2 linked regions of the Oryzias latipes genome follow. The protein of the gene in region 1 purifies or fractionates together with the protein of each later gene. This does not show direct contact. Links are inferred from orthologs where the notes say so. Each region holds a gene or a part of one and is shown in the gene's direction. Other genes may lie near its edges.

Region 1 (16,380 bases):
AACCAGGTTTGAGAGCTCAGCATACAGTCTATTTCTGCTGTTCTGGTGATTTATTAGCATCTCAATGAAAACATGACTGTCATAAAAACAGTGGCATGGTTGAAGGGGTTTTGTCAATATCTTCTCCACTTCAGTCCCCATCTTTTTGACTTGTGATTCGTGGCGCCAGCTGGCCTCAGAAACCCTCCGTGTTGTTTGTGCTGCAGCATCAGATGTGCTTTGATGAGGCAAAGAGCGTTCAAGCTTTCAGAGTCAATAAAATGCAGCTAAACTTGAGAGACATGTGAAAATGTCTCACTTTTTTTGTTTAATCAAAACAGAAAAGACAGTATCAGTTTGGGCTTTATGACTTAGAAACTGGTTTTGATTTGAGTTATTTGTAATCTCCTGTTGCCATAAGGAAAAATCATAAAGAAAGGAAAAGTCTGTTTGAAGAATTGTAATTATTGTAAATGTTAAATTATTTAAAGCTTTTGTTTGTCTTCTCATTAGATCCTACACATTGTACAGCTCCCCCTAGTGTTAAAAGGTGGAATCTTTTTTTTCGCCATACTTCCTGTCAAGGTTATACATGAGTGTAAAGCAATGGACCCCAACTTTATTCAGGCCATGGACCTGTTTAATGTCCAAACTTCCTGTCTTTCTCTCTCTCTCTCTCTCTCTGCGTTCTGGCACAAACTGTTTTTAATGAACTGGTATCGGTCTGCAGCCTGGGGGTTGGGGACCGCTGATGTAAAGGAGAACAAAATACATCTAGTTCTGGAAAAAAAAAAACACAGCAGTATTGGTTCAATGCCACAGATACAAAAAAGGTTGTATCGATGGTGAAACATTTCTTTGTCAGGTTCTCTCTACTGTACGCCAGACGAAGATGTCCAATCCCAAGCCTGCGTCTTCCAGGTTGGGTCAATTCTAATTGGCCGAAGGTTAACCAAAGTGGGGGATGTTGTGTGCACTAAACACATGGTACCTCTTTTTTTCTAGCACTGCAAACAAAACCTGAATAAATTAATGTCACACTTTTATTGATCACAAAGAATGTGTTGAAATGGCTGTGACAAGCTGTGGGAGGGAAATGTACACAACCCTATTGTAGACTGTTCTGAGTGGACCAAAGGGTCAATGTTACATTGTAGTTCAATTGCAATGATGTAGTCTTAACAGCCCATAATACTCACCGGCTTACGTTCTCCTCAGTGATGGTCCAACGATGCCGATAGTGGATAAACTCAAGGAGGCGTTGAAACCTGGTCGAAAGGACTCTGGTGAGGACGGGGATCTCAACAAGCTGTTGGCATCGTCTGCCAAGAAGGTCCTCCTGCAGAAAATCGAGTTTGAGCCGGCCAGCAAAGGTTTCTCCTATCAGCTGGACAGCCTCAAGAACAAGTATGTGATTCTGAATCCCAGAAGTGAGGGCGCCACGGGGCAGAAGGCGTCCGAGCCTGCTCCGATAAAGAGGCAAGGTAAAGCTGGTGAAACTGAACATTTTAGATAAAGAAATTTTCTTTGGCTGTTGAGCGCTGACAGTTTGTTTCCTTGCTTTGTTAGTCTCGGAAAATGTGATCTGGAACCAGAGTGACGGGATCCCCGCGCCGCAGAAGATGCTCTTTCCAGCAAACAAGCTGACTCTGAAGTGGGAGCGCGTGTACAGGGTGGGAGCTGGCCTTCACAACCTCGGAAACACCTGCTTCCTCAACTCCACTGTGCAGTGTCTCACCTACACCCCGCCACTCGCCAACTACTTACTCTCAAAGGAGCACAGTCGCACTTGTGAGTCCTTTCTATTGCGTCCCCTTTGCTTACATTAGTCTGACGGGGAGATCTCAAATGTGGCGTTTTTGCAAACTGGTGTAGCTGAAGATCACAGGATGGTCTGTCTGCTGAGTGAGGTGAGGTCAAATCAATGAAAAGAAGTGTGTGTGGGTGGGGTGGGTACATAGATTTTGTCTAGGTTCTTATTAAGCCTATTTTCTAACTTTTCATTTTAAAATAAGAAATGTGTATGCACAACAATTGTTGACGAGGCAAAATGTTCCTGACCTAATGTCTTTTATAAAGAATGTTTACTTCAACTTGACCAAGAAAGTGTGGGGCTGAATGAACATGAACCATTTTTAAGATAACCATAAACAAGTCAACAAAACTCTTTCTATCACTTTAAATGACTAAATCCACTGAGTTCTTTATCGCCATGCCTGGTGTGATGCACGTTCCAGAACTTGCAGCCTACGGCGGTCTTATTGGACTGTCGCTACCCGATTCTAGCGGATGTCCATCCACCACAGATCAGAAATGTCAAAACGGTGCAAATCTTGTGAATCTTGCTCCAGGCATTTTCTTTCACAGCTCTATTTGGATGTGTAAAAGACGTGGTGTCACAGAATTCCGGCACAAACAGGAATTCTTAATTTCTCCTCCAAGATCGATTTTCAAACGGTTGGCATTTGTGTGTTTTGAAAACACAGAAGGCACTACCAAAGCCAAGTGCCTGATTGGTCAAAGTTCATCCTGGTTTAACCTGTAATGGTTCGGTTTTTAGTAGGAAGAGCCTGAAAGCGATCATAAACACGTGCAAAGTGACACTTGAGCGCGGAAGCCTGGAACCCGCGTTTACGCAGCCTTTTTAGTGGAAGTGGTTGCTTGATCGTGCCTCGCCAAGGTCCGTGTGAATGTAGTCGAGGACTGAGCGGCGCTTCTTATTTGCTGGCAGTAACAAGCACCGACACACACAACTACAGCGCCCTCTGGTGGTTGTTTGTATTCATTTAAAAAGAATTACGGTACATACATGTTGGACCAACCAAACTAGGCAAAAAACAAAAATTGTGACCTATACTCCAAAAGATACTGTACACCAATCTGTTGCTACAGTCTGTAAAGATAGTTATCTCCATTGTGTTCATTTGCTGCTATCAAAACATTTTGTGAAACCTCCAGAGGTTTGGCATCTTAGTTTTCTTAACAGAAAAAAATCTGTCCATAGCATTTTTTTCCTTAAAGAACAGCCTTAAAAAGTAAACGAATAAAAGCAAAGAAAGTGACATTTTCTGTTTTTAACTGCTGACTAAAGCTGCAACTTAAGTGTCTCTATAATACTAAGCAATATTGATGCATTTAGAATTCAATTTTTAGACCTTTTTAGCAACACATTTTAACATTTTATATAAAACTGCTTTATCTGTGAGTCCTAGCTGATAATTCAGGCGTACTAACTATCTAAATAAATTTTACATCAAAACGTTTTTGTTGCATTGGGTGTTGATTTCTGCACCCTATTTCTCAACAGAGGAACTTCTCTGATGGCAAAGAAAAAAAAAGTAACATAAATTTATTTTGTTTTGTTTTTCTGTTCTTCTCAAAATGATCCTAAAGACTTGATGAAAGCAGAAATGAGTGTGCTGCTGCTTTCTTTGTGACTTTTACCGTCTCATGTGTGTTCCAGGTCATCAGTCGGGTTTCTGCATGATCTGTGTGATGCAGAACCACATCATCCAGACCTTTGCTAACACCGGCAATGCCATCAAGCCCGTTTCCTTCATCAGGGACCTGAAAAGTACGATTTTTCTCCATTTTTTCACCCACTCGTTTTAAAAGTAGACCATGTCAGGAGCTGGTAGCTTTTTTTTTTTCTTTTTAACCTTGTGGAGAGCTGGGATTAATTGTGAATTTCACCTTCACGCTCACTGCTCTACTGCGTACTTTCTCCCGGTGTCCTGCTGCAGTCGTGCACCCCCTCTATCCTCTCTGACTCCTCCTGACTGCAGGTTTAGGACAGCAGCTTTAGCTTTAGCCTTCCTCTGCTGCTCATTTTCACATTAACACAACTGATGGTTGCAGCTAGAAGCAACAAGCAAATGCAAAACATTTAGTCATCTCCCTCGTCCTCACTAATTCGTCATAAGCGCATCATTCTGTTTTCCCACTCTGAGGTGACTCCATTATCTTCAGTGAGTAAGGATGCAGTGCTGGGAATGTGAGGATCACATTAGAATGATGCCTTCACCATTAGGAAATCACATTGGAGCAAATGTTTATAGCTACATTAGCCGTAATGTGAGGCGTTTACTGTAAATGGGACACAAGGCTGCCGGAGTTATGAGTCACTGCTTGGCTGTTATTTCTGAAACACAAAACAGTGGAAGTTTTCTTGTAATCTGAGGTTGTGTCTTGAGAAAATGTTGGTTTAAAGTATTATATCAATATAAAAGCTTGTAGTTATTTAAAGAGCAATTGCACTGTTTATGTATGTCTACAAACAGTTGATCTTATTATGTGCAGTGTTCCAAAAACGTGTGATGCATTTGTTTTTTTCCAACAGAAATTGCCCGACATTTTCGCTTTGGGAGTCAGGAAGACGCTCACGAGTTTTTGCGGTACACCATCGATGCCATGCAGAAAGCCTGTCTCAACGGTTACCCCAAGTAAGGCTGCTGAGAAGATTTTACATGAGAAACCTGAATGCTGGTCTGACTTGAACCAACGGATTTCTTCCTGCTTGTAGGCTGGATCGGCAAACGCAGGCCACAACACTGGTCCATCAGATCTTTGGAGGTTACCTCAGGTCAAGAGGTATGGGTTCATTTGGTCCACCCTCTCTACTTAGATCAGACTTTTTTCTTACCAATGGTGATGCATCACTGAGCTCTAAATATTCTGATGATGATCTAAACGTTGTTTAATGTCTAAAAGTTTTTTTTCTTTTCCTCAGTAAAGTGCTCTATTTGCAAAAGTGTGTCAGATACTTATGACCCTTACCTTGACATCGCTGTGGAGATACGGGTGTGTAGCACAATATTTCTACAATAACCTCATTTATTCTTGTAAAGCTGATTAAAGTGGATGATTAAAAAAAAACAAAAAAATCGATCTTCAAGAACATTGTTCTGTTGTTTTCCAGCAAACGGCAAACATCGTTCGAGCCCTGGAACTGTTTGTTAAACCAGATGTTTTAAGTGGAGAAAATGCTTATATGTGCGCCAAGTGAGTTCCTTTTTCATGACCTGACACTAAACGCTGACTGGAGGAATAAAACAAAACTCAATTTTTTAAGGATCTATTCATTCAAATGTGATTTCTTTTTTTTTTTTAAAGGTGCAAGAAGAAAGTGCCGGCCACCAAGCGCTTCACCGTCCATCGAACATCTAACGTTCTGACCTTGTCGCTGAAGAGGTTTGCCAACTTTAGTGGAGGAAAAATAACAAAGGTTAGCCGATCAATATCAGTCCCGTGACAAAGGGGGGGGTTAACATGTCCACCAAATATTAGATCATTATGTGGGGGACTTTTCTAAAAGAGTACGTAGATAATCTGGTGTCTTTTATGCCACAACAGCAGTTATCTGGTAATAAGATATCCAATTAGCATATAGATTTCTCCCAGGAAGACTTCCTGTTTTTTTCCACTTATAACTAGATTTTGTAATTAAAGATGGATATATATTTAGTAGTTTTATACCTGCAAATGTGTGAACAAAATGAAGGAGGTGGAAGTCACATAACACCCCAGTGTTGCCGATCCAAGCAACAAAACTTTTTTTCTTTTAAATACAAATTGATGGCAGCAAACTGCTGTTTATTTTGCAGACATATTAGTTTCCACATTAGCAAAGCTAATAACTGGACATTTTTATGAAGAACAGATAGGCGGAGGTATTCAAAAGAACAGGAGGTTTGAAAGCAACATCATGCTTTATGTACTTAAGGTGTCCAAAGTAAATCGGAAGATTGACCCTCCTGTTAACCAGCGCTTTTTTAATAATCGTATTTTCATTGCCTATTTGAGAATATCTAATTACCATATTTTTAAAAAGACTTTCCTTTTTTATCAACAGGGTAATTAAAAAAAAAAGCAACTTTACTTCCTGCTCTGAATATTTTTCCTTGTTTTCTTTTTTTTTTTTTTTTTTTTTTTTTTTTTTAAAGGATGTTGGATACCCAGAATTCCTCAACATCCGCCCCTACATGTCTCAGAGCTCCGGTGATCCTGTCATGTATGGCCTCTATGCTGTGCTGGTGCATTCTGGGTACAGTTGTCATGCTGGCCATTACTACTGCTACATCAAGGTATGTCGGCCACCTCAGCCTGAATTATTTAACGATTTCAACCTTAATGGCTTGTCACCTGTTTAATTTTTTAGTTTTTAACTTTAAAAATAGTTTTAAATGCAGATTAATAAACGGTTTGGCTTTTATTTAAACAGCTGCTTTGGATCAAAATTTTCTCTAACTTTTGTTATTCTAGGCAAGCAACGGGCAGTGGTACCAGATGAATGATTCAATGGTGCAGTCGAGTAACATCAAAGTGGTTTTGAACCAGCAGGCATATGTGCTTTTCTACCTGAGGTAAGTCGGTGAGATCAAAAAAGATCTGTGCACTTCCTGTACTATTAAAGTAACCAGAGTTTGTGTGTAACGCAGGATCCCTGAAACTAAGAAGACTGCAGATGGACAGACCACCAAGACGGGGATGTTGCATTCTGGGAAGAATAATGCATCGTCGGAGCAGATTAAGAGAGCTAACCTAAATGGGCCTCTGTCCTCCCCACAGGTCACAAAGGTATAAGAGAAAAAAAGAATGAACAGGATTTCGGTGTTAATGAGGACGTTTATTTCAGTAGAAGTCGTTTCTTCCTGACAGAAACTTGAGCCTGCACAGCTGAGGAAGATTCAGTCCATGGACAGCGGCTTGGGTTTCCCCGTTTTCAGAAATGGTGGCAATGCTCAGCTGCAGCCAAGACTCCCCAACTGGACGAACGCTACCAACGGTCCACCAAAGCTGGGGAGTGGGCCCACCGTCATTGAGGAGCCTTTCAAGAAGGTGAAGAAGCCCAGCCCTCAGGGCCAGGTGCAGTCGCGCAGCACCACGCCCACCCCTTCCAACAACGGGGTCAGCCGGATGGAGGGGGATAAAAAAGCGGGTGGGGAGAGCAGAGGAATGGCAGCATCTACCTCATTCAAGTCTTTGTCGGACTCCTCCTCTGCTGACACCTCTGAGTCAAAGGTGCAGCCATGAAGACTTTTTAATTATTGTAGGAGGGAGATCGTAAGCCTAGTTTTTTTTAAAATTTGTTTTCCCTCTTTTGACCAGGACTCCATCGGTACCAAAAGTGCACCAGCAGGAGAGACTCCCTCCACTCCTCGGAAGGGATCCAGCAGCCTGGCTTCTCCGGCCAGAAGCTCGGATCGCTCGCAGAGCACAAAAGAGCAGAAGATGACTAAAGTAAAACCCCCAGCGCTCAATAGCATCGCATCTGAAGCCACCAACACCATGTCGCCTCCACCTGCCAAAAAACTGGCCCTGTCAGCCAAGAAGGTCATTTTTTATCTGCCTTATTAAAAAAGCGGTCTGTACTACCATGGAAATGTTTGATTTCATGTAATGCTGTTTCTCCAATGTGCTTGTCTAATCTACCATGTAAGCATTTCTTTTCTTTATTTTTTCTTTATTTCTAATTCTTGTATTTCATACCTTTCTTCTGTTTTTTCTTTTTCACTCCGAACATAACTCCCGCCATCCTGTCACCCCCCCCCCCATATGATTTTCCTCTTTGTTTTTGTCACAATCATGGTTATTTTCTTTAGACCACCAAGTTTTTATTTTTGTCGATAACTGCAGGCTCCCAGCCAGAATCGGAGCACTGATGTTCTGTCCCATTTGCCACACCGGCTGTCCCGTGACCCTCTGCATCGAAATCAGTTCAATTCCTTCACCAGTGCCACACCCAGCCATACACACGGGTATGAATCTGCTGGTACTTTAACCCTCGATTATTGAAGGCTAAAAAAAAGTCCTTTTAACATATTTAATTCATCTCTTCCAGGGCGGGTCCATTCCATTCGCCTAAAACTCAGTCACTATCCTCTGGCCATTTCTGTGGATCCGTACAACAGCCGAGCCTTCTTGTTTCAGACGCCAGCCCGTCTCATAAAACCAATGGTTTTCACCATCCAAGCCCAAAGAGTCCAAAGTCTTCCAACAACCCCAAAATGATTACTCAACAGTCAGATGTTTCCCCCCAAGCTCCAGAAGTGAGCCAGAAGCAGAAGAAGAAAAAGCGTCGGCATTCTGAAGCGGAGGATAAAACCGAGCCGGAGACGTCCTCGACTCCCGTCACACCTTCCAGCCCTCTGGAGACGGCGAGCGAGAGGAAACGCAGGAAGAAAAGGAAAAAGCGAAAGAGGGAGCGTGAGGAGGAAGAGAAAATCCAGGAGGAGGATTGGTGTCAGGGTGGCTTATGGAGCCTGACGTCTAAATCGGATGCAGAACCCTCCAAAAAAAAGTGCCAGATATCTAACGTGAGCCCGAAAGCATGCGAGTCAGCTGAGGAAGAGCAGCACAGGGAGCTGGTGAGGAAGAAGAAAAAGAAGAAGAAAAAGATCATTCAGGATCTGGAAGATTCTCTGCAGGAAACATCTGAAAGCTCAAAAAGGTTTGCTTTTATTTTAATGTCTGTGATGTAGGCATCTATTTGTTACCATGGCAACCAGCTGTTTAAGATGCATACTAATGACAAACATAATGCATAATTAATCTGCTCATCAGAGGCACTAAAAGTCAGGTTTTTTCTTCTTCCAAGAAATGCATTCATTGCATTTGTTTTTGTTTTTTTTTTTACATTCAGGAATCTTGAGATGAACACCACAGACGTTTGTAATGACACACAAGACTCCGGATTGTTGAAAAAGAAATCAAAAGTAAAAAAGAAGCGGCTAAAAGAAAAGGAGCGACTGAGGGACGAAGGCGAGGAATCTGCTGCCTCTTTGCCCGCGAACCCCCCCTGTGAGCCTGACGCCTCAGAGAACAGCAGAACGAGCAAAGAAAACACGAGTATGTGATCAGGAAGTCATTTCAAATAAAGGGTTTTGTTTTCAAGTTCAGCTTAAGCTTTGAATCATTCAAAGCAAGGACATTTGAAAGAATATTGGCTCCAAATTGGTATTGGCTTTTAAATGATTCATCTTTTGCTGTCTTTTTCATAGAAGGGGGTCCAGCCTCTGTGGTGATGTGGGACAGTCAGATAAAGGATGTTTCGAAGCGCAGTCAAGCGGATGGGAGTACAGCAGTAGATGCTCCCATCCGTGTGGCCTGGGATGGGAAAAAGACGAGCAACGTAGTTGAGGAGCTTCTCAAGAACTCCTCGGATAAAGCTTATGGAGCAAACGGTGAGGAAAAGGCTCCAATTTTCTAAACCCGATCACAGAATCTGTTTTGGTTGGAAATCATAGTTTCAAATGAATATTCTGTCTTTTTCCTGGTCTAGTCCTCACCTGGGATGGTGAGGTGTCTGCTGTCAGCAGGGATGCCATTGAAGATGTCCGTAATGCCAAGTTCGACACTGTGATTGATGAGTGGGATGAAGATTTTGACAGAGGAAAGGTGAGTTAAAAAAATGACCGAAAAACAGTCAAAAGAATCATGATCACAATTTCTTTAACCGGTTTTTTGTTGTCTTTTTTTTTTTAGGTGAAAAAAGTCAAAAGCTATAAAAGTGAGAAGTGGAGGAACGGCAGCAACTTCTTCCAGAAGATCCAAGACAGGCGGAACAAGTGGTCTGTGACGCTCGGAGGGAAGAGGGCGTTTGGTGGCAGACGGTGAGGGCGCGGAACGCCGCTGACCGCAAATCTGGAAATCGAAACCAAGTTGCCAAACCAAATGCGTCTGTGCGTGTGCCAGCTCCAGGACGCTCGACGGTCTGATGGACAGCACCTTCATCTCTGAGGGTGAACAGAAACATCAGGAAATGTTTTCTTTAGTGGAAATCTTTTGAAGTCCGAGCATCAAATATTTCAAAGGGAACCTGTGATCATCTTGTCTAAAAACTGTAGGTCTGCTTTTTTTAAGGCTCAGTTTTTGGTCCTCAAATTGTTGATATGAAAAAGAAAAAAACGCAACCCAGTTGTAAGGAGTTTATTTGTGTTTTTGTTTGTTTTTGACTTTTTTCCGTCTGAGCAAACTGCTGCAAAAGCAGCAACAGTAAAGGGCTCACAGTGAAGAAGTGACCTTTTATTTTGAAATCCTTCATATTACACAAATCATAAATTGATTTAAATCTATATTTAACCTTTTTGGTTATTTTATTTTTTGCCTATATTTTTAAGTATTACTTTTTATTACACTTTTAGCAAAACCCATAATTATAATTTAGGTGGTCCATGTTTGTGTTGCTCCTTACCAGCCTTACTACACTGTGCATTAAGGTTTTACGGCAAACCCGGATGGTGAGAATTGTTTTAAATGCAGTAACAGACTGAGTTGTTGATGTCATCAATCTCCTATCAAAAACTTCAAATCCAGAGTTTCCTAGAAAACCTTCTTGATTCCCATCTTTTTCTCTTTATGCAATGTTCTGACCCTCCCAGAAACTGGGCTGACACTCAGGTACCCAGACCCCCTGTACCTCACCTTTAGCCCTCTCTCTCTGGGCATCCATGCCGCATCGTGTACATTTGTGTATAAACTGTTTTATACAAACTATTTCAGGAACCACAGGATCATCCTCCACCACCACGGGCACATATTTGTAGAAAAAGGATCAACAAAAGCTTTGTAGACGACTGTACAGTCCATCTTCTATCTGTATTGCTGTAAAGATGCATTTCTTTTCATTCTAGAGATGTTGCCTTGAATTGGCCATATACAGTGTAGAATTTAAGACTATAAATATCTAATTTAAAGGAAAAAAAACGGATCTTAAATGTGCTAATAATACTCAAAATAGTTGGTGGATGTTCACTTGAGAATTTCTTTTGAAAATGTATTTGAGAGTTGTTTTCATGTCGCCCTGGACCGAAGCTGTTCAGATGTTGAGTTTGTTGGAAAAGGAGGCTGTGACTTGTGGTGCAGAGCTTCATGCTGGAGCAAATGAACTCTCAATGTTCTCATGGAGTCTTGTATTTTGCACCAACCTCTCTGATCAGGAGGGAGAACTTTCAAAGTGAAAGGCCCTCTAGCCTCAATATAGTTACCTGAAAAGGTGCAATAAAGTTGTGATTTTTTTCGTGTGTGTGTGTGTGAGTTTCTGCGTATTGTGTTTTAAGCAATGTCAGAAAAGCCAATCACTTACTGTATTGGGTTGTCATCAGGCCTTTTTGTCACACTAAATACAGGTTATCAAATCTCGAGATGACTTCTAAAGTGAGACTATTTTTTTTAGAGACAATAGACTGTTTTCTACGAGGTCTAAGCAAAAACAGCGGATCTCCACCTGATTCTATTTATAGATGCAGCATTTCTAAAAACTAAGTTATAGAAGTGAACATGAAGATTTCACATGAAATGGCGAAGTTCACAAGTCAGTGAAAGTCCTGACGTGTGTCCAAGTACTTTTTCTTAGAAGTCAAGGTCTATTCAGTGTCTAAATTAAGGCTAAATTTGTTGTTTTTATTTGTTCCTAGTTGAATTCAGTTCTAGTGTTTTTGACCAATCTGCTTAATCTGAAGTCATTGTTCAATCCAGAGTCAATCCATAAAGTAGACACTCGAGGTATTTTAGACCAGTTCAGTGTTCGTCACAAGTGTAGTTTGAAGGGTTTACTCAGGATAAGTTTAAACTCAAGTTTTTTTGTTCCAAGTCGAAGTTGATTCAAGAGTTTGAGAGGCTTTTGAGTCGAGGTGTTTGTCGGTCTGCATTCATTAAACTCTATAAAGATAATTTTTAATTCAATTTCATGAAATTTGTTTCAGGAACTAAAGATAATTCAGTCTGTCACTCAGAATTCAAATATATCTAAGTGATTTTTAAGAAAGAATTATCTATAAAGTCTGGGAAAATATCTTTCACATGAAATGTTACACATTTGCCCTATTAAATGCTCACTGTACCTCTAAAATTAAATCACGAAAACAGAAAAATAACACAAATAGTTGTCTTTTTTTGTACAAAGTATGGAGCAATTTCAGTAAAGTAGCCACAGGTTGTTGCTGCAAGTTTACAACCGCAGTTTAGCCAATCACAATCAGTCCTTAGAAAGTACGTGGCCACATGTTTGCACTTGGCCCACCGGCCGGACTTTGGACATGCCCAATTAAGGGACAGGTCCAATGTGTGGGTAATAGTTTTTTTTGTGTGTGTGTCATTTTTAAAACATCTGAGAGCTTCAAACATGCAAAACAGGATTTCTTAGACTATAAGTGAAAAATCCTCATCTCAGACGAAAGTGATCACATGCTGGAGGAGGAGAGTCAGAGCAGAGGAAGGAGAGAGGAGGAGGAGGAGGAGGAGGAGGAGGAAAGCAGGTATCCGGATCGCTTCGGGCGCTCGTGCAGAGACATCCCCGCTCAGTGACGCCTGCAGCGGCAGAACCACCAGGATGGACGGGGAGAACCAAGGTTCGCCTTTTGTTTTTAATCATTAATCCTTCAGACTAAGCTCAGGTTCAACCTTAACACGAGTGCACGCTTTTTATTTATGTATTTATTTTTAGCACCGTTTGTTCCAGAGACTGCTCCGCTTTCAGCAGGAACGGTTTGAAATTTGGACTCGCTTTCTGTTTTATGAAGTCCGGGAAGGTGCAATGCCACGTTTAGCACGGGCTGCTTTAGAAACAGGTGGCTAAAAAAAAAAGACCTGCATGCTGAATTATTGAGCACATCTGCAGCCCTGACAGCACTGTAAACTCCTCACGTGGCTCCTGTCTTTATTATGCATTCATATGTCACGTCAGGTGCAGCCCTGATGGATCTGCAGGGACCAATCATTTCAAATCTTGACATCATGCATGATGTCAGACGGTGATGAGCCAGCGGATGGCTCCCACTGTCATCCTCATCTCAATTATTCAGCAATTTTTAAGACTTTCTCTTTGCTTGATGCATCCCAAAATAGATCCCCCAGCTCTGGCCTCATTGCAGAGAATCAGCTGATGTGATGTTGAAAAACTTATTGAGCAACAAAGTAATTATGTATTTTTGTGTACGTGTTGGCAGTGGGCCCTGAAGCAGAACGCACCTTTTTTTAAATTATTTTTCATTTTATCTAACTGGGATGGTCTCTTTCACAAAGCATCAGTCGATGATTATGTAATTATCAGAGAGGGGTTGGCAGTGAAAGGCGAGACGTGGTGAAGCTGTCAGAACATTAAAGTCACACTCACTGTCACTGACACCTCCTTTAGCAAACCCACAGCCGGGGGAAGAGGAGGAAAGAACAGTAGTGCGTCCAAATCCTTGCAGATTTCCATGTGCCGCTCAGATCACAAATGTTTGCTTTACCAGCATTGATAAGCTGGTTTCTATGTGTTTAGTTCAGAACATTTATGAGGAGTATCATGCTGTTCTTTGCACTTTGCTCCTGGGATGTTGCTAGGAGCTGCAGCCCAAAAGCTGCTATGGGATTAACAGGGTGCGGCTATGTTTGAAGACTCAAAGGCTTTTAGTTGCATGGTGTCTAAATATCTTTTTTATGTGTGTGTGCTTGTGTTTTTACCTGCACCTGTCTCTGCAGCTCAGTTTCTCTTTGCATGACAATATGTGCACACATACAAAGGAAGCAGTGGCTCTGCCTCATAGGCGTGGCGGCGCTCTACATCTGCAGGTGCATGTGGTTTTTGTGGTTCTGCGTAGCGTTCCTCTTTCTCTCGGCTAGATCCCTCCTCCTTTTTCGATAAAGTGATTGATGTGAGAGGCACGAGCGCTCACGTTGGCCTGGAGGTTGATGTCCTCCTGCTGTGTCTGTCTCTCTGAAATGATGAAGATCTGGAGTTCAAAGATTGCTCAGAAGCTGCAAAATCCCAACACACCTCATTTGGTTCAAAATCACTTCAAACGCATCTTGACAAACCAGAAGATCAATGCCTTAGGCAGTGAAGCAAATTTTAAGCAGTCACGTCAGAAAAAAAAAAAAGGTTAAAAATAAACCCTGGCCAACTTTTCCATGAAGAAATCTGCACCGCTCACATCAAGAAGCAAGGAAAGAGAGCATTAAAGTTTCAGGAAACTGTCTGCTAAATGCATTCAGATTATGGTGCTAACAGTAGTGTCGGCTCATCCTCTCCCTAAAACTGTTGTGAGTCATCAGTGGTGATGCGGCTGTGTGGGAGTTCCTCCCTCATAGATTGATCTGTGGTCTTTGAAACTCGCCTGGAATTGAGTTAGAAACACAGAGGGAAATAGCCCGGAAGGGTTTTGCCTTCAAATGTCCAAGATTTCTTAAAGGATTTAAAGAAAAGTCTGCAAAACACTAGAAGCTTTCCAGAAGAAGAGTGTTATTGCAAGCTGTGTCCACATGGTGGCAGGCCAATCTCAGAGTAGATAATAATAAATGATAATACATTTTATTTAAAAGGCGCCTTTCTGGGCACTCAAGGTCGCCGCACAACATGTATACAGTATAAGAAATACAATAAACAGTTAAAACAACAACAATTTAAATACATACACAATGAAATAAAATGTATATAAAAACATGAAAAAGTTACTGTTACAGTTATTAAGCCAATTGGAAAAGATGAGTTTTTAGCTTTAATTTGAAATGTGGGAGTGTGTCAGTGTTGCGGAGGTCAGGGGGGAGTGAGTTCCAAAGCCGGCGAGCAGAGCAACTGAATGCCCTGCTTCCCATGGTGACAAGACAGGTGGAAGGGACAGAAAACTGGATAGAGGAAGAGGAGCGGAGAGAGCGAGCAGGTATGGCGATATGAAGGAGGTCAGAGAAATATGGAGGTGCAAGGTTGTGAACGGCTTTGAATATGTAGAGCAAAAATTTGGTATTGAATGCGGTATGGAATAGGGAACCAGTGAAGCTGTTGAAGGATAGGTTTGATATGGTTGACGGAGGGAGTGCGTGGGATGAGACGAGCTGCTGAATTTTGACCCAGTTGAAGTTTATGGAGGGTTTTTTGTGGGAGACCAAACAGAAGTGAGTTACATAGTCCAAGCGGGAAGTGACAAGACTATGTACCAGTACAGCAGTGGACTGAGGAGTGAGGGAGGGCCGGAAACGTTGTATGTTGCGTAGATGGAAGTAAGCTGAGCGGGTGATGTTCTTTATGTGAGAAGTGAAAGAAAGACTACTGTTGAGGATGACACCCAAACTCTTTACCTGAGGGGAGGGAGAGATGATGGAGCTGTCAATGGAAAGCGAGAAATAGTTGGTCTTGCTCAGAAGTTCAGTTTTATTGCAATTGAGTTTTAAAAAGTTTGAGGTTAACCAGGATTTGACTTCATTGATGCAGTCAACCAGCGCTAATGGAGGCAGTGTGGAGTTGGGTTGGCTGGAAAGATAGAGCTGGGTGTCATCCGCATAACAATGAAAATGGATGTGGTGTTTTTAAAAAAATAAGAAGGTAGATAATAAAGAGGAGTGGACCGAGGACAGAACCCTGAGGGACACCAGTTGTCATAGGGACAGAATGAGAAGTGAAAGATTTCAGTTGGATAAACTGAGTCCGGTCAGACAGGTAGGAATGAAACCAGGAGAGGACGGTGCCAGAGATGCCAATGGAAGAGAGTCTGTTCAGGAGGATGGAATGAGAGATAGTGTCAAAAGAACTATTTCAACTATGAACTGAGATCAAGCAAAAGGAGGATGGATAATAAACCACAGTCAGCAGAGAGGAGAAGGCCATTGGTGAAGATAGAGTGCTGCACAGCGTTCAAGGCAGAATATCAAACTGAACAAAGATATTTGTTTTCTCTTTACGTTTTAACACAACTTTTACATGGTCAATAGCATCAATGTTTATTCATTTTCAGTGGTAGTTCATTATTAACTCATACTTCCAGGTGCTGAATCAGCAGCAGAGGTTAAAAAGAAAGCTTTGTTGAATTCAAGTAAACACTCAGCTACAGTTCACAGCTATTATTGATTTGGAAGGCCTCTCATGGTTACTAACATCACGTGTCTCTGACTTCATCACTTAAAAATGTGTTAAGGAAAGTTTGCTGACTGAGTTTGCATCAATCCAGAAGTTAATATGTACTCTTCGGATAAAGTAAGGATAAGCATCCCAGCTGACTCTGCGATGTCCCATTCTGCCTCCAGTGACATAGCTGTTCTTCTGCTTGATATGCAGCTGCAGCATTTATGGGAGCAGTGACTGACATTGCAGTTCACACAAGGGTCGGTTTGCAGCGAGCCCTGGAAATAATCTGGGTTATGCTTTTTAGATCTGTAGAGATGCCACAATTGTTCAAACGAATGGAAATGCCGTCTTTTTTAAAAGCCACCTAAGTCGGGCAGGGGCTGCGTCACTCTGAACAAGAGCATGATTGACGCAGAGGCTTGAGTGGAAGAAGTGATTGATAACTGACACCGACAGTGAAAGGCAGCAGTGAAGGTGTGGGAGAAGCTGTGTGTCTGAGGTGTGGGGTAATTTAGATAATCAGATAAAAAGTTATGATCATACTTTGTATTATAGAATATTTTGCAACTGTTGTGCAGCCAGCT
Region 2 (16,915 bases), on another chromosome or scaffold:
TCACCGTTTCAAATAGTCCGTCATTAAATGATGTTTCCTAAGCTTGTGTCAGAAGTATGCTGAAGTAAACATTCACAAACTTGCCTGATTTCACTCGAGTCATTGATTTATCAAAATATAAGATAGATTTCATAAGAGAATAATTGCTCGTCAGTCATGTGGGTGGTCCTGAAAAGGACCATTGTTTTTTGTCGCTGGAGCTGCAGTTTAACCTCCGAATCCGTACAGGGTTCGGCCCTGTCTCTTCAGAGCGTAGACCACGTCCATGGCGGTCACAGTCTTCCTCTTGGCGTGTTCAGTGTACGTGACTGCGTCGCGGATGACGTTCTCCAGAAAGACCTTCAGCACGCCACGAGTCTCTTCGTAGATGAGCCCGGAGATACGCTTGACGCCGCCACGACGTGCCAGGCGGCGGATGGCGGGCTTGGTGATTCCCTGGATGTTATCACGGAGAACTTTGCGATGACGCTTGGCGCCTCCTTTCCCCAGACCTTTGCCGCCCTTGCCTCTTCCGCTCATGTTGATTTGATATCTTAAGTGAGTCCAGAGTACTCTGAAATGGCAGCCGCACTGACACAGCTTATAAATTTGAACAGCGGACGTCAAAGAAGACACCTTACTTGGGTGGAGCCAAATACACAGCACAAACATATTTCTTCTAGAACATTTGACACAGAACAGTAGTAGAATACACCAATTACAAAACTTCACAGTTAACAGTTCTCAATAATAAATTAGGATAAATAGCAGCTGTTGCTCTATAATTAGGGTTGAAAATAGGCTTCCTTTTAGCTGCACTGGAGAACAGACAGATTTAGGAAGGATTGCAGAAACATACAATTTAAGGTTCACGTTTTTGTCTAAATATGTAGTCTCAAACGGTAAATTTGATATCTTATGAGATGGAGGTTTGTCTGTGTTATAGACCTTTCAGTCCAACCAAAATAACACCTCTGGCTTTGTAGAAGAAACCAACATGTCAATTTGATTTGTCTTAAGTAAAGAGTATTGGTTAAAAAGTGAGAAGTGAGCTTAACATCCAGTTGATCCTATCAAAACAAAGGTGAAGTGACAACACTTACACAATTTAGTCAACTATGTATGCTTTCATAAGTATTTTAACTGCAGAAATAGTTCATTCTAACCCATTTTTAGTGCTGTTTTCACATCTCAAGGCTTACAATAACAAGTCTAGAACTACATTTGAGGGGAACAAAGTAATCGGATTTCATTCCAGGTACAAATATTTGTCCCACATTTTCTAGATTGAAATTCCCAGATATTTGAAATTGACCAAATGCCTACAATTTACTGACATATATGTACGTATTAAAAAACTTTGTCTATGTTAGAGGACATGTGGGCTACATCAGTTTCAAGGATTGCAGATAAATTTGCACTTTATAAGTCAAAATGCAGCCCTGACGTTGTTTAATTCATTGCAACATTCTTTAGATTTTAGTCTTTTCTCTTCACATTTTTTGCATTGAAGTTATATAAAATCTAAAACATAAAGCATGAACACTGTTGTTGACACTGTTCCATAAAAACTCATAAGACAACATATGGAAACGTTCAGAAAGAGAAAAAAAAAGTCAAAATTATAATACACTGACAGTTTATCTATTTCTAATGACCACTAATACAAGGAGAAAAACGATGAATGCACACCACAATCGTATAAAATGTCATGTTTGACTTTTACCAAGCAGGATGACACAGGATGTACCTACTTTATGAAAGTAAAATAGAATATAATCTATGTAGACCAAAAACTAACCTTTTTTATCTTAAATAGTACTAGTTCGTATACATACTGTGTAACCGGTTATTCCAAAAGAAGTAAACAGTAAAAAATTGAATCGCATCATGTAATAAGTCATTTGCTCTCACACAAATATGGACGATTTCAAATAATTGCTTCTTAGTTCTAATTTTGGCCATAATCTTTTCAAAATTCTCAACTTAACAGAGTATTATATCTGTCACGTGATGTGTCATTCTACTCTTTAAGTCATGAATGTTTTCTGATGAATAACAACCACTTTTTTGTAATATATAGTATTACATTATATTCATAACCAGTTTTAAAGTTATCGATGATGTATTGACTTGTCTGAATTGTACAGCTTGGACTGGCTGAAGCGGGTCTTTGCTCGTCAGTCATGTGGGTGGTCCTGAAAAGGACCGTTGTTTGTTTTTTGTCGCTGGAGCTGCAGTTTAACCTCCGAATCCGTACAGGGTTCGGCCCTGTCTCTTCAGAGCGTAGACCACGTCCATGGCGGTCACAGTCTTCCTCTTGGCGTGCTCTGTGTACGTGACTGCGTCGCGGATGACGTTCTCCAGAAAGACCTTCAACACGCCGCGAGTCTCCTCGTAGATGAGCCCGGAGATACGCTTGACGCCGCCACGACGAGCCAGGCGACGGATGGCGGGTTTGGTGATGCCTTGGATGTTATCACGGAGAACTTTGCGGTGACGCTTGGCGCCACCTTTCCCCAGACCTTTGCCTCCCTTGCCTCTTCCGCTCATGATGTGTTCTCACTTAGACAAGTCTAACACAAATAACAGACAAACGTGAGAGCCGCTTTTTATTCCTATCCAGCGGACGTCAAAGAAGTTGACTGGGTGGAGCCAAATGCAAATTATCACGAACAGGCTTTAACCGAAACCGAGGAATACAAATTAAGATTTCGTATTCCTATTACAAGAAAACTGTGGTAATGTTTACAAATAAACATTACCAGTTCATTCTCATTTATGAAAGTTTAAATGACAAGTTAAAACTGTAAAAAGGGGAAGTGACTTCGCACGCGCATCAGGACAGTGCACCGTGCTGGTGTATCATTGAAAGTCCCTTTTGTACATTTTATCCCTTATCTGAAATTGACTAATGAAATTTTGTACTTCGTGTAGTTTTGTCACAAGCATCAGTGCTTTATTTCTACGTTTATTGTTCGCTCCCCTTAGCCATCGGGCCCTAATGTTCCTCGTGTTTTACATTTTTAATCTTGGTGAACCGGAGAACTGATTTAACACTCACAAATCAATCCTTACATATTTAAAGTAAGAGGGTAGAGCTCATCAGGAAAAGATGTGGGTGGCCCTTAAAAGGGCCTTTGGGTTTTCGTGGCAGTAGGAGTTTACTTGGAGCTCGTGTACTTGGTAACGGCCTTGGTGCCCTCGGACACGGCGTGCTTAGCCAGCTCGCCGGGCAGTAGGAGGCGCACAGCAGTCTGGATCTCCCTGGAGGTGATGGTGGAGCGCTTGTTGTAGTGAGCTAGACGAGAGGCTTCGGAGGCGATGCGCTCAAAGATGTCGTTCACGAAGGAGTTCATGATGCTCATGGCCTTGGAGGAGATGCCGGTGTCAGGATGGACCTGCTTCAGAACCTTGTAGACGTAGATGGCGTAGCTCTCCTTCCTGGTCTTCCTCTTCTTCTTTCCTCCTTTGCCGGCCGTCTTGGTCACGGCTTTCTTGGAGCCTTTCTTGGGCGCAGACTTGGCGGGTTCGGGCATTTTGAATCAGATGACTGACGCAACCGAGTGATTCAAAGGAGACCAGTCACTGTAATTATACTCGTTCCATGTAAATGTAGCTGTGCAGCCTCTCGACAGTGATTGGCTGAACGCATAGGACATCAGAGAAGTAGAAAGATGTCAGAAAAACATGGAAGTGGATCAGAGGAGTTAGTAAAAGCACAATATATTCTTAAAAAGTTAACTTTCACGTATTTTTAATCATGTATATATAAACTTGATTTAACTTCCAGAGTTTTAACTGCATAAAATCTTTATCTTGTCTCTAATTAACAACCATCTTTAACACAGCTCTCATTTAACCAGCTAACAGTTAACATGCATATCAGGTAATGTTTTTTTTATTTATTTATACAACGAAATAGCCCAGAAGTGACCTCAACAGGATTTACAACAACTGCACAACTTCTCCCGCTTCAGACAGGGGGCAGCTGTTCAGATGGTTGAGGTCTTTTGAGTAAATGTGTTGCAAACGTAAAGAACAACTGTGCATTTTAAACAGAAGTTGGCACACATCTGAATAATTTGAAAAACCAGTATACTTTGCAAAAAGAAGAAAACTTTTGCTTTCATTTTTTTACAAAAGGTAACATAAAATGCTGTGTTCATAGGAAACCTAAATCTAAATTAGTCGTTATAACATTTCATCTCATGTGTTAGGAATTAATGAGGACCAATACTAAGGATGTCTGGAAGGACACAACCCCACATGAGCATTAATGTAAAATTCTCTGCATTTGGTTGGTTAGAAAGGACTGATCCAAAAAAAAAAAAGATCTAAAAAAGAAAGAAAATTTGATTAGTTCTGTGTTGTTAATTATGTGATGTTTAATTTCCAGAAGGTTTCTCACATTGTGCAGAGTAATCACATACTGCAAAGCTTGCATACAGAAGAAATGACGATTCTGTCAATTCAATTTTTTTTATCAGAACAAGTAAAAATATATTATTATGGTGTGAATGTGAAGGTCACAGAGAGATGTATTTTCATTTTTGGTATCTAAATAATATCTAAAATTATTTTTTCAGTTAGTGTTGAAATCCTCTTAAAGTAAAATGTGACGTCAAAAATACTTATTTAAATAATTATATTCACTTTTGTGTTCATAAATTTGTGTTTATTTCTTGTAGACCACTCTTTGTGTACATTTTGTGTAAAGTGATGATATAAGTCACAATTAGGTTCCTTACTTACTTCACAGTTTTATTCTTTCTTTCTTTAATTTCACTCATTTCTTTTTTTGTTGTTGTACTTTATTGTAAAAAACGGAAGTACAATACAAAACACAGTTTACATAGTAAACTTCAAATATGCCAGGGGAGCATACATATTACATGCATTTTACATAAAAACATTGAGGTTTCTACAACTTCCATACAAACATACAGCTTTCGGACTTTTAGAGATGTTAGTTAGATACATTTCAATTTGTTTGATTAACACAGGGAAAAAAATAGAAGATGAAGAAAATGAGCATTTATGAATATAAAATGTGCCAAATAGAATAATATTAAAATTAATTATTAGTTTTTTACTTGAGTCCAAGTTTTTATTGTGAAAGCCAAAAATTATGTTATATTAAAAATTATATATATTCAAATTTCAAAGTGAAGTTGGGGTGAATATGTTTTCTGATAAATTTGTTAACACTTTTTCCAAAAGATTCTAATTTGAGTACAATTCCAAAAAAGATGGTTAATTGTTTCTGGTTGTGTTTTGCAAAAAGTACAGTCAGGATCAATTGTCACGTATCTTAGCATGAACTGATTGGTGAATTATTTTAAAAGAAACTTCTTTCATTTTATTATTTATTAATAGTTTTTGGGTCACACTCCAGCCTTTCCATCCAAATACTATCGGGAACCAAACATCTCCAGTAGGTTTTAGTACATGGTACAGAAATGACATCCCTTTAAAATAACGTACATATTTTTTTGTTGTTGTTCTTGTGGGTAGTAGTAAAGCAGATTTTTCCTGTGGTGGTGTCAGTCGGTTTTTCCAGATAAAGTTAAACAAAATTTGGTCAACAGATTATAGTGTTTGATTGCCCATGTAAAGAGATAATGCAGAGTAAGTGAGTGGAGAGATTCCCTCTGCCATTGACAGCAGTACTCGGCCTTTTAAGCTCAGGTCTCTTTGAAGCCATAAATTAAAACTTTTTCTGGTTTTCTCTATTACAGGACTGAAATTTAAAGAACTTCTCTCTAGTTTGCTTTTGGCGATGGTAATCCCTAGGTATGTTAGACTCTATTTGATGGGAATTTCATATATAGATCCTGTTTTGTCATTTTCGATAGATAGTAATTCACATTTTTTAATGTTAAGATAGTCCAGAGACATTATAAAAAAGCTTTTACAATATTTAGGGCTTAATGAATTTGACTGCTATCTATAAAAAAAATGGTTGTATCATCAGCTAGTTGGCTTATGAGAATCTCTTTGCCAAAGACAGAGATGCCTTTCAAATTATTTATAGTTATGTAATCTGCCAAGGTCTGAGTGGCTAATAAAAATAGATATGGCGAGATGGGGCAACCCTGTCGTATTCCTCATTTAATATTAATGGGGAAAGGTACCATATTTTAGTTTTACTGAGCAGTTAGCATTACTGTATAATAGTTTTATTACATTGCAAAAATAAGAGCCAAAACCGAATTTGTGAAGGCAGCTAAAAATAAACGTGGAATTAATTGAATCAAAAGCTTTATAAAAGTCCAAAAAAAGAATATAACTTTCGTCTATTATTAAATGTGAGCAATCTAACATATCCAGCACAAGCCAGATGTTATTAGAAATGTCTTTTGCGCATGAATCCTGACTGGGTTTCTCCAATTACAGAGTCCAAGACTCATTTAAGTCTGTGAGTAAATACAGAGGCAATCATTTTATAATCCTTATTCAATAAACTGATCGGGCGCCAATATTGAGAGTGTCTTTTTTGGGTTATAGGAGAAGAGTGATCACTCCTTGATTCAGTGTTGGAGGTAGAGTTCCTTGGCTAAGGCTTTCTAAGAAAACCTGCGTTACAAAAGGAGCAATTGAAATACTAAATTGTTTGTAAAATTCCCCAGTTAATGCATCTGGTTTTCACTAATTTCTGTGGAGGGAGAATGTAGAGCTCTATGACTTGATGCGTTCTAATGGAATGCTGTTATCATACATTGAGTTTGTAACTAAATACAAAATTAAGGATTCTAGTAACTGTTATAATAAAGTCTGTAAAGCAATTCCAATGCCTTTACTTAATCCTATTCATAACATACAACAATACAATGCAATCAAACCACAATTTCCAGAACTGACAATTAATGATATTCCCCTAAAAGATAAAAAATACAACAATTAATTAGTAACTCTAACCTTTAAACAAAAAATTCTGCAACAAGATGCAACCTAGAAATCTCCCTAATGGACAAATCTTTTTCTTTATACACAAAGTACCCACTTCCACCTAAAATGAAAGAAAAGCATTTTAAAATAATATCTAAAATTTACCCAGTTGGAGATTTTTTACATAAAAGATTCAAATTTTAATCGAAACCATGCATATTCTGTTTCTTTTGAAACTGGAATGTTAGAACATCTCTTTTACAGTTGAAACCACATAAAAATATTTTGGACTGATATTCACAATTGGTTGTCACTCAAAGTTTTATATATTCCTTTTTTTTTATTTCTTTACCTGGTGTTCTTTTTTTTTATGGAAAATCTGGCCTCGGGGATTTCTGACGTCATCGGTGTTGCTTTTTATTTTATGTAAACATTTCATTCATCTATGTAAATGGAAAGATACATGCCCCTTTTTTAAATTACTGTATTTTTCTGATTATTATAACTGTCTTAAATGCACTCCGAACAAAAAAAGAATGTAGAGTTAATGACGTCAAACGTGTGCGCCGCGTTAACACGCGGTGACGTCTTTGAGAAGGCGCCCTACATCCGCAGGGACGCTCTGTCGCGTGTTGGTGGGCACGCAAAACAAAACTTTTAGAGACGAATCTTCCACTCTAGAGGTAATAACAACCAGACAAACCAGCTGGTTAAGTTTGGTTCTCTTGGAGGCTTCCTGCAGACCATGCCCCACGAGCCCGACCCTCCTCCGGCTAAAAAATTCAAGCCGGGGTCTGTTTTTTTCCGCCTGGAGAGGAATAAACCTGGAATGCTTTTGCCAAAAAAGGGGAATGTGAGCACTCCGATAGAGGTCCAAAGGAAACAGCTTCCGATTTACCAGGCAAAGCCGCACCTTTTGAACCAACTGAGACAACTTCAAAATGCTATCATAATAGGTACATTTATTACTTAACTGTCATTAGCCATAGTTAACGTTAACTCTTACTAGTTCCCCAGGCTCCACAGCAAGTAGTAAGCAGTCATGATTAGACTAAGTTCATTTTTGTTAATGGCGCTCAAATGAACACATGTTCAATCCTCACCAGGTGAGACCGGATCTGGGAAGACCACACAGATCCCGCAGTATCTGTATGAAGCCGGGATCGGTCGTCTGGGTATGGTCGCCATCACTCAGCCGCGTCGAGTCGCTGCAATCTCTCTGGCAGGACGGGTGGCGGAAGAGAAGAGGACTCAAATCGGCAAACTGGTATGTAAAAGACCTCCTCTGTCATCTCCATTCTGTCAGTATTACTGCAGGATCTGAAGAAATCCCACCACTAAAATACAGCTCTGAAATTTCATGCAGCCATTCTTTAATTATGTTGTTTCACTCTGAATGTTTGTGAAATGACAAACATAGATAGTGTAAGTAGTTTACTCAATTCCATCCCCACAATCTGTATTGAAATGAGGAACTATAAGGAGCCCTGGCTCTGAAAGTCCCACTCCAATCATCTTTTGATCTATCAAAGTGTTCCTAGTTTAGTCAAAACCAAAAACTCTGTGTTGTTTTCTAATACAGTGTTTTTCAACCTTTTTTGAGCCACGGCACACTTTAACCTTGACAAAAATCCCACGGCACACCAGCATCCAAAAAAAAAAAAAAAAGCAGAAACTCATAGTCTGTTTTGATCTACCGCCCCCCCCCCCCCCCCCCCCGGCAATCTGACGTGCATTTTTGTGATAATTGTGGCAGAAAAAGCAGGAAGTTGCAGATGTTTTTCTAAAAGATGTAATAAAAGTTAAGTTACATACAAACTGTATGTTCGTTGTGTTTTCAAGACGTGTAAAAAGGACGACTCATTAAGCCAATGCATCATGGGAGATGTAGTGTGAATACTGCGAGAAAACGGCAGAAAGACTCGCGTCTCTGAGCTTCATGGTTTTGTTCACTTGTTCCACGGTCTGATACCGGATTCTGTGGAAAGCTACACCGCTAAAGACGAGCTTTAGCTGGTGTTTTTGTTGGAACTGAGTGAGTTATGAGCTAAATTAGAACAAGGAAGTGGAGACTTTAACCACTTCTGATTGGTCAGACTGATGACATGTGATTAAGCCTTCAAGAATGATTGGTGGAGTCGTGGAGACAGTAAAAGCTGCGGGACTTTTCCTTACACAGTTATAGCTGCAGCTATTTCGCGTTACCGTCATTCTTATCAAAATGTCTTTAATAGAATCAAATAAACACAAAGAAAAAAGTATTTTATGATCGTTTATATTCCTAACTACTCAGTGTTTTATCAGGACCTGTTTGGATGAACAAAGAGCTGATTTCCTGGAGATGGGAAATGCTTTTAGATCAGTTAATGAGGGCAATTTTCCACGGCACACTTGACCATCTCCCACGGCACACTAGTGTGCCGCGGCACACTGGTTAAAAAACACTGTTCTAATACATAGTTTCTGCAGAGCTGCAGGAATTCATTAGAAATTCACCTCTGAGTTGTGGGCAGGACCATTGACATGGAATGACCTCTTTCCCCTCCCCGTTGCAGAGAGCTCTCTGTTTACACTCTCTCTCGTTAGCTTACAGCTCCTCACACCCCCAACCTAATATCACCGCTGCAACAAAAATGGCGAGCAATATTGGAGCTATCCAGTCGTACAGTTTTGAGCCGGATTCCAGCTCAGGCGAGGAAAACAAAAACTTAACAGCATTGGAACGGAGCGTAGCAGGGATCTTGTTGCCCACTTAGCGTATTTTCTCCGTCACAAGCTATTTTTCAAACTGCATTTTATCGTCTGATCCCGATTCACATAATTTGAATGGACACACCTTCTCATTCAAAGAGTTTTCTTTATTTTCATGACTTTGAAAATTGAAGAGTGACACTGACGGCATCAAAACTCTGAATGAACACACGAGGAATTATATACATAACAAAAAAGTGTGAAATAACTGAAAATATGTCGTATTGTAGGTTCTTCAAAGTAGCCCCTTTTCTCTTTGATGACTGAAAAATGCCACAAGAACACGTAAAAAATGTTAAAAACACAATTTTCATCAGAGTGGGCCTTTAAAAGTGTATGTTTAATATAGCAGTGGATGTAGAGATGTGTGTTTGAGGCTCGCTGCTGTTTTAAAGTTTGACGTTTAACTTGCTGGAGCATGTAAGGAGCCTGCTAACACATATCAATGTAAAGCTAAAAAGGTTTGTTAAATTCTTCTGTTCAGGTTGGCTACACGGTGCGCTTCGAAGATGTCACCTCCTCTGAGACGAAGCTGAAGTTCATGACTGATGGCATGCTGCTGCGGGAGGCCATAGGAGATCCCTTGCTGCTGAAGTACACTGTGGTAGTCCTTGATGAAGCCCACGAACGCACCGTGCACACAGATGTGCTCTTTGGTGTGGTGAAGACTGCGCAGCGCAGACGGAGGGAGCTCAATAAGATCCCCCTGAAGGTTAGAGGACAATGCAAGTCCTCCATGTTTAGACATCATGAGTATTTCTATAGATATGCTTTTACTCTGAAGTGGAAGAGTTTGTAGAGCAAATGTGTGAAAACAAGATGCAAGGTTTTGAAAATCAAAGTTTCCAAAGTGCACCTGGAAGCAGCTTTATCCAAAAAAAAGCTTTTTAAAACCTTTTTTAACTTTGTTTTTACTGAATCTTAATCCTATAGAATAACCTCACTGATTTTACTTTTAGTTCTGGGTTTTTCTATAAGTATCCGGATGTTGTGACTTTGCTATCAAAATAATCTTAGTTTTTTTAAATCATTTTTTTATTTTTTATTTAGAGATAACTTTCACAATTTTTATTAAATTGAATGTTAAACATCTGTTGAATATCTACAGACTGATTCATATCGACTTACCGGTAATATTGTTGAGGGGGGGGGTGTCTTTTTTTTGATTAAATATTTGTGAAGGCCAACACACAGACCTGCATGCATTGAACCCTTATAATGACATTACATGCAAACTATTTAATGGATATTTTATTACAAAAGCATACTTTTAAATTCTTCTCATACAACAGAAAAGCACCAAAATAGATTTATTTTGCTCCAATTACCATGAATTTCATCTTAAAAGACCCTGCACTTTTCCAATTAGCTTAGTGCAGTTAGCATGTCTTGTCTGCCTCTGGATATTGAACTCCTTGAAAACAGCCCATCTCTTGGCTTATTAGGAAGAGAAAGATGTTTGGCATTTAACTAAGAAAATGCTCAATTTTCACTTGCTGTCAACGTCTCGTCTGAGATTGGCTGTTTTCTGTCTCGTTTCTTTGTGTTGCAGCTCCATACCTGTGTGTTGGTGACTGTCCAATTTTCCTTGCAGACATCTGAAAGGCTGTTTTCTTTTTCCTATATATATTTTTTTAATTTTCCCTGTACAGGTCATAGTGATGTCTGCCACAATGGATGTGGATTTGTTCTCTGAATACTTCAACAAGTCTCCTGTCTTATACCTGGAAGGGAGGCAGCACCCCATTCAGATCTTTTACACCAAGCATCAGCAGTCAGACTATCTTCAGGCTGCACTAGTTTCCATCTTCCAGATCCATCAGGTAATCCATCTAATCTATCCAACATAAAAATCTACAATAACAAGCACTTCTCTGGAGGAAATAGATGTTTTAACAGTGCTGATGTGAAGTGATGGTTCTTTATGTCTCTGTTGTGTTCAGGAGGCACCGCCAGCTCACGACATCTTGGTGTTCATGACGGGGCAGGAGGAGATCGAGGCTCTGGCGAGGACGTGTCGAGACATCTCCAAGCACGTCCCCGACGGCTGCGGGTCCATGGTGGTTCTGCCCCTGTATGCATCTCTGCCTCCAGTGCAGCAACTCAGGGTGTTCCAGCCGGCTCCCAAGGTGAGCATCAGGAAACGATCAGAAAAAGGACCCTTTCTGTTTGAAGACCCACTCCAATGAAAATAGCGTTTTGAGCATTTTTAACATGTTCTTGTAGCATTTTTCTCAGGATGGAGGACATATATAAAGAAAAGTAAGCTTAAGCTTGCATTTCTGAGTATTTCTTTATTCAAATTTTATTGGATAAGGAGCAGATGAAAACCCTCGGTTTGAAAAAGGTTGCCATGTGCGGGACAAAGTCATCCTTCTCAGCTGCAATTCTGAAGTATTCACTTGCAGACGAATACATCCATTAACATCTTAATTTTCCTTGTCTGAGCTGCCATCTGGCTCTAAACTGGACGGCTGGATAGCTCTGATGTTTTTGTTTTTTTTGCTACCCTAATGTTAACTTGGGCTTGTGAGATGCTAGAAGCTAGCTGGAGTGAGTGTAAACAAATAGCAGATGATAAATGAGTGCAGCTAACTTCTGCGCCAGAATTGAATTTCTAATGAGCTCCCACTGCTTAAAATATGCCTTAAAAAACAGAACAAAGGCTTTTTGTTTTGGCTCAAAACTGCATAATCGTAATTGAAAGACCCCATGGAACGATTTTACAATAAAAGTTGAATTCTAAGATGTTGGTTTTTGAAGCTTTCCATGCTTTTGTCCAGAGCTGCAGAAAAGTCATCCTGTCCACCAACATCGCAGAGACATCTGTGACCATCTCTGGGATTAAATATGTCATTGACACAGGGATGGTGAAGGCCAAACGCTTCAACCCTGGTGAGATCATTGCACCTTCTCAATGAAGACCGTAGCAGAAGATCGTTATGCCTTTGTCTTTTTAGTTATTTGGGACAATTTGGAATTCTGACGGATATTCAGTACTGATCAGATCAGTGCATAGTGTTTGTCTCTGTCCTATGAAGATTTGGTCAAATAATTTCATATCCCCAAATATTGATCAGATAAATTATTAATAAGGCAGCCCTCATGTCAGGGGTCCCCAACCTTTTGTAAGCCACGGACCAGTTTATTGTCAGACAATATTTTCACTGACTGATCCAAATGGGGCAAAAGTTGGTGGTTAATTTTTTTTTTTTTAATGTTTCCGGTTTCTGACTCTATTTTTTAAATTAAAAAAACAATTTTATTACCCTCCAAATACGTTTTAATTTATTATTTTTTTTATTACATTTGTTAGATTGAGGCTTTTAATTTGGCGGTCTGAGCAGCCGAATCCAGTATTTTTCAAAAACAAAACTTCCTTCAGAATCAGGGAATAAACAGAATCGAAATATTCTAAGTTAAAGTATGTATTTGTAATATTCTTCTTATCTGCGCTACCTTACCAAGTGACCTACGGATCAGTACCAGTCCGGAGTCTGGGGCTTGTGGACCACTGCCTTAAGTGCCAGCTTTAGTGTCTTCTGCTCCCAGACTATTCATTCAACACAAAAATAAAGAAAACTTTAGGGGGAGACTGTAATGATTGGATGATAACACATGGCTGTGACAGAAATGTACCAGTACTTTGGGGATTCAGACAAAGTTAACATCAATATCTGGAGCCATCTCAGGTTTCCCTGAAGTCCAGCAATAATTATCAGATAATCTTTATATAAAGATCCTGACTCACACATGTGGTTGGCACATGTAGCTTCGAAAACGGCTCATTCTAGTGGTTGAGTGGTCATACAGATGCAAACATCTGCTAAAGATCAAAGGAGAGATATCTGAATTGTGTTATTTTACTTAAAAATAATTTAGCAGACAGGAGGTTTTTTGTGGAAGAAGGACTCCCTTCAGTCAGAATCCTTGAACATGACATGTATTTCTTCAGATTGGCTTTTGATCTTCTTGCTTTGTGAACCAACAGGGTTTGAATCTGCAGCGAACAAACCCATCCGTGCATCCAGACACAGACAGCAGCTCCATAGATGCTCCATGCAGGCCTTTTCTGCACTCCCAGTCAGAACTGTGGAAACTTCCCCTAACATTACAAACTTCTAAAAAAAACCTCTGGTCTTTTTCCATCATTAGAAATGGTTTTGATGGTTATTTTAAGTCACTTTTGGAGCTTTAACAAGAAAATCCTTTTTAAAATCACGCACAATCGATGATAAAATCTCTCTAATGTCAATTTCTTTTGAGGTTTTGATGTAAAATTGGTTATTTGTGTGAAATATTTTCAGTTTTATACTAATGCACTAAAGATTTCTAATAAAAAAAGACAATTGGTGTGTGCATGTTTCAGATCAATATTGGTAAAATGAGCCACTGAAAAGTGACATTTCTTTCGATGCTGATGATGGTTGAGTGTGGCTGTGCTGTGGCTCTCAGACAGTGGTTTGGAGGTGCTGGCCGTGCAGCGAGTCTCAAAGGCTCAGGCGTGGCAGCGAGCAGGCAGAGCTGGCAGGGAGGAATCTGGCTTCTGCTACCGTCTGTACACAGAGCAGGAGTTTGACAACTTCCTCCCCATGACTGTCCCGGAGATCCAGAGGTAGGGAATAAAACCGAGTTTGCTGTGTTTTCAGCTGCTGCTCCTGCATGGTCTCTGCATTTAGATCACACAAACTGAATGCCGCCATGTGCCTTGCAGGTGTAACTTGGCAGGCGTGATGCTTCAACTCATGGCGCTGGGGATTCCAGATGTGATGAACTTTGATTTCATGTCCAAGCCTTCCCCAGGTAGGCGGATGAAGCTCAGGAACGGATGTGGTTGCACAGGAGGAGATGTGGTGGCAGTGAGGTGTGTTTGTTTGTCTCAGAGGCTGTGCGTTCTGCTGTCGACCATTTGGAGCTGCTGGGAGCTGTGGAGAAGAGGGAGGGGCAGGTTCTTCTCACCCCGCTGGGGAAGAAGATGGCCAGCTTTCCTCTGGAGCCTAGATATGCCAAGGTACAATGATTCACTCTGCTTTAACTTGGAGGACCAAAAAAGATTTTATCAGCTATTTGCATGGAAATATATCGATCGATTAATTGCCCGTCCCGGATTTATGAGGCTGGTGTGCACACTGAGGGTTTGGTGGGACTAAAGTTTACATTGATGAACTTACATTGGTCTGTCTGCAGGCCGTCTCTAAAGCATTGACTCAAAAAATAGAAATTTCATTAATCAGTCAGAATGTTTACATCACCTCAGTCTGCGTCTGACTCGCCGTAACACAATGCAAGCCTTACGCAGGAGTTCTGTTTCCAGTCCGCCAACTTGTCGATTTTGCGACAACAAACCAGGGAAATGGGAAACGGGTCTGAGTTTCAAAATAAAAACTTCAGTTGCACTTTCAAAATAGATGTTTTAAAATTGTTATTTTATTTTAAGTTGACATGTCCACGTGATAACACACACGATTCAAGATTCAAGAACAACTTTTTTAATCCCCGAAGGGAAATTTAGTTGCAGTAGCAGCACTAAGGAAATAGGGGGATAAAGACAAACACAGACACAAAATATACAGGGAAGAAAAGAGGAAAAATTTGAATAAAATAATAATAGAATAACTGTACAGTCTGTAACTCTAGAATTCTCATGTACGTCCAAGTCTGCCAGATGAATTGTGGCATCTGTTCTGATCAAAACATGATCACCACTCAGAACGTCACAGAAGTGCTGAAGAGCAAGAAATGCTGCTAACAGCTCCAGTTGATCCATGTGGAGTCTGGACAGTGCAGGAGTCCAAGAGAAGCTGCACTCCTGAGGACAGGAGCGAACAGAAGACTTCTGCTTCGCTTTCTTGGGCTTCAAGCTCATTTACTTTCTTAAGATTCCATTTTTGCAGTGCTGGCAGATGTGAGGGAGAACACGTCTACCTTAAATTTTAGGTAGAGTTGTGTTCCTGGTCTGATTCAGTTTCCATCACATGATGATACGGACATCCAATCAGGGAAAAACCACACCTGATGTTGATTAAACTTATAAAGTTCATGATAACCTGAATGTGACCAAATTTAAAGTCCCACTAGTTCAAACTTCAGTTAGCTGCAGACACCGCTGGGCTCAATTTTGTTCCAAAACCAAATAAACTTTTTTTCCCCCCCTGCAGACCATCCTATTGTCCCCAGAATACTCCTGTTCTGAGGAGATCTTGAGCATCGTGTGTCTGCTGTCCGTTGACACTGTGCTCTACAACCCCCCGGCCCGGCGGGACGATGTGCTCGCGGCACGCAAGAAATTCATGACCAGTGAGGGAGATCACATGACACTGCTGAACATATACAGAGCGTTTAAGAAAGTCAGTGGAAATAAGGTGAGTGTGGCGAGACCGAAATTTGAAACCAGAATGATCACGTTCCTGATGAAGGTCTGCTGTTGAAGGAGTGGTGTCGGGAGAACTTTGTCAACAGCAGGAACATGGGTCTGGTAAAGGACGTCCAGGCGCAGCTCAGAGACATCTGTCTGAAGGTACAGTTGCACCCACAGTGCAAACCTGGGAACTCAAAAATGCCGATTTATTTTGAGCATCTTTTATAATTGTTTTAGGAGGAGAGCTGATCTCATGTTTTTAGTCTGTTTGCATGCTGGAGGTCTTCAAGTAAACTTCCCAGACTCCATGTCCAGTTTCATAATGTAAAAATTGAGTCAAATGAAAGTGATGAAGTCTTCATTTTCTGTCTGGCAAGAATTTTTTTTTTTTTTTCAGAAAACTGATTGGAACAGCAAAACAAGTTAGTTTTAGAAAGGATGAATGAGCTTTTTTGGTACTTTGTAAACTAGGTAATTAAGCACACTATTGAGTATTTCTTTACTCAAATTGTTCTTAACCAGGAGCAGACGAAAAGAAATCTGTTTGAAAAAGAGCTTATTTGTGACGTAAAAAATGTGCTTTTCGCTCCACTCTGATGCATCCACTTGCAGACAAATAGATCCATGAACGTCTTTGTTTTCCTAGTCTGAGCTGGAATCTGGATGATAGCTCCAATGTTGCTCGCTATATTTGTTACACAGGTAATGTTAGGTTGGTGTGATGGGCTGCACACTAGCGGGAGAGCGTGTAAACAGATAGACCTCAGTTTGGGTAATGGGAAGTGGGGTCTTGCTTGATACGTGCCAACAGTTCTAACTACAACTCAGGGGTGAATTTCTAATGAACTCCAGCTGCTCTGCAGAAACTATGTCCTAGAAAACGACATGGGTTGTTTGATTATGGTTAAAAATGGCATAATCATAACTAACAACAGA

The links.
Region 2: the proteins of ubiquitin carboxyl-terminal hydrolase 36 (region 1) and dhx33 purify together in Homo sapiens (affinity purification with mass spectrometry; 5 studies listed by BioGRID and IntAct, counting the BioPlex papers as one, with this or other methods). This does not show direct contact. The link is inferred for Oryzias latipes from reciprocal best matches to the Homo sapiens genes USP36 and DHX33.

The regions. Positions count from the first base shown.
Region 1 is NC_019866.2:10,391,377-10,407,756, reverse strand, and holds the end of ubiquitin carboxyl-terminal hydrolase 36, read left to right. Parts: intron 1-1,197; 5' UTR 1,198-1,210; coding exon 1,211-1,463; intron 1,464-1,548; coding exon 1,549-1,770; intron 1,771-3,442; coding exon 3,443-3,553; intron 3,554-4,318; coding exon 4,319-4,421; intron 4,422-4,501; coding exon 4,502-4,569; intron 4,570-4,708; coding exon 4,709-4,779; intron 4,780-4,897; coding exon 4,898-4,980; intron 4,981-5,091; coding exon 5,092-5,203; intron 5,204-5,921; coding exon 5,922-6,062; intron 6,063-6,240; coding exon 6,241-6,341; intron 6,342-6,416; coding exon 6,417-6,555; intron 6,556-6,636; coding exon 6,637-6,999; intron 7,000-7,086; coding exon 7,087-7,311; intron 7,312-7,614; coding exon 7,615-7,736; intron 7,737-7,819; coding exon 7,820-8,428; intron 8,429-8,620; coding exon 8,621-8,826; intron 8,827-8,978; coding exon 8,979-9,161; intron 9,162-9,259; coding exon 9,260-9,375; coding exon of another isoform or gene 9,376-9,379; intron 9,380-9,462; coding exon 9,463-9,594; and 2 more. UniProt on the Homo sapiens protein: Deubiquitinase essential for the regulation of nucleolar structure and function. Required for cell and organism viability.
Region 2 is NC_019872.2:21,234,038-21,250,952, forward strand, and holds the start of dhx33 (putative ATP-dependent RNA helicase DHX33), read left to right. Parts: upstream 1-7,464; 5' UTR 7,465-7,615; coding exon 7,616-7,826; intron 7,827-7,976; coding exon 7,977-8,137; intron 8,138-10,105; coding exon 10,106-10,333; intron 10,334-11,273; coding exon 11,274-11,444; intron 11,445-11,564; coding exon 11,565-11,750; intron 11,751-12,404; coding exon 12,405-12,516; intron 12,517-14,076; coding exon 14,077-14,236; intron 14,237-14,335; coding exon 14,336-14,424; intron 14,425-14,504; coding exon 14,505-14,632; intron 14,633-15,779; coding exon 15,780-15,983; intron 15,984-16,051; coding exon 16,052-16,138; intron 16,139-16,915. Other genes in the region: uncharacterized protein LOC101170117, read right to left, coding at 213-435, 2,224-2,532; histone H4, read right to left, coding at 208-519; histone H2B 1/2, read right to left, coding at 3,144-3,518. UniProt on the Homo sapiens protein: Implicated in nucleolar organization, ribosome biogenesis, protein synthesis and cytoplasmic dsRNA sensing. Stimulates RNA polymerase I transcription of the 47S precursor rRNA.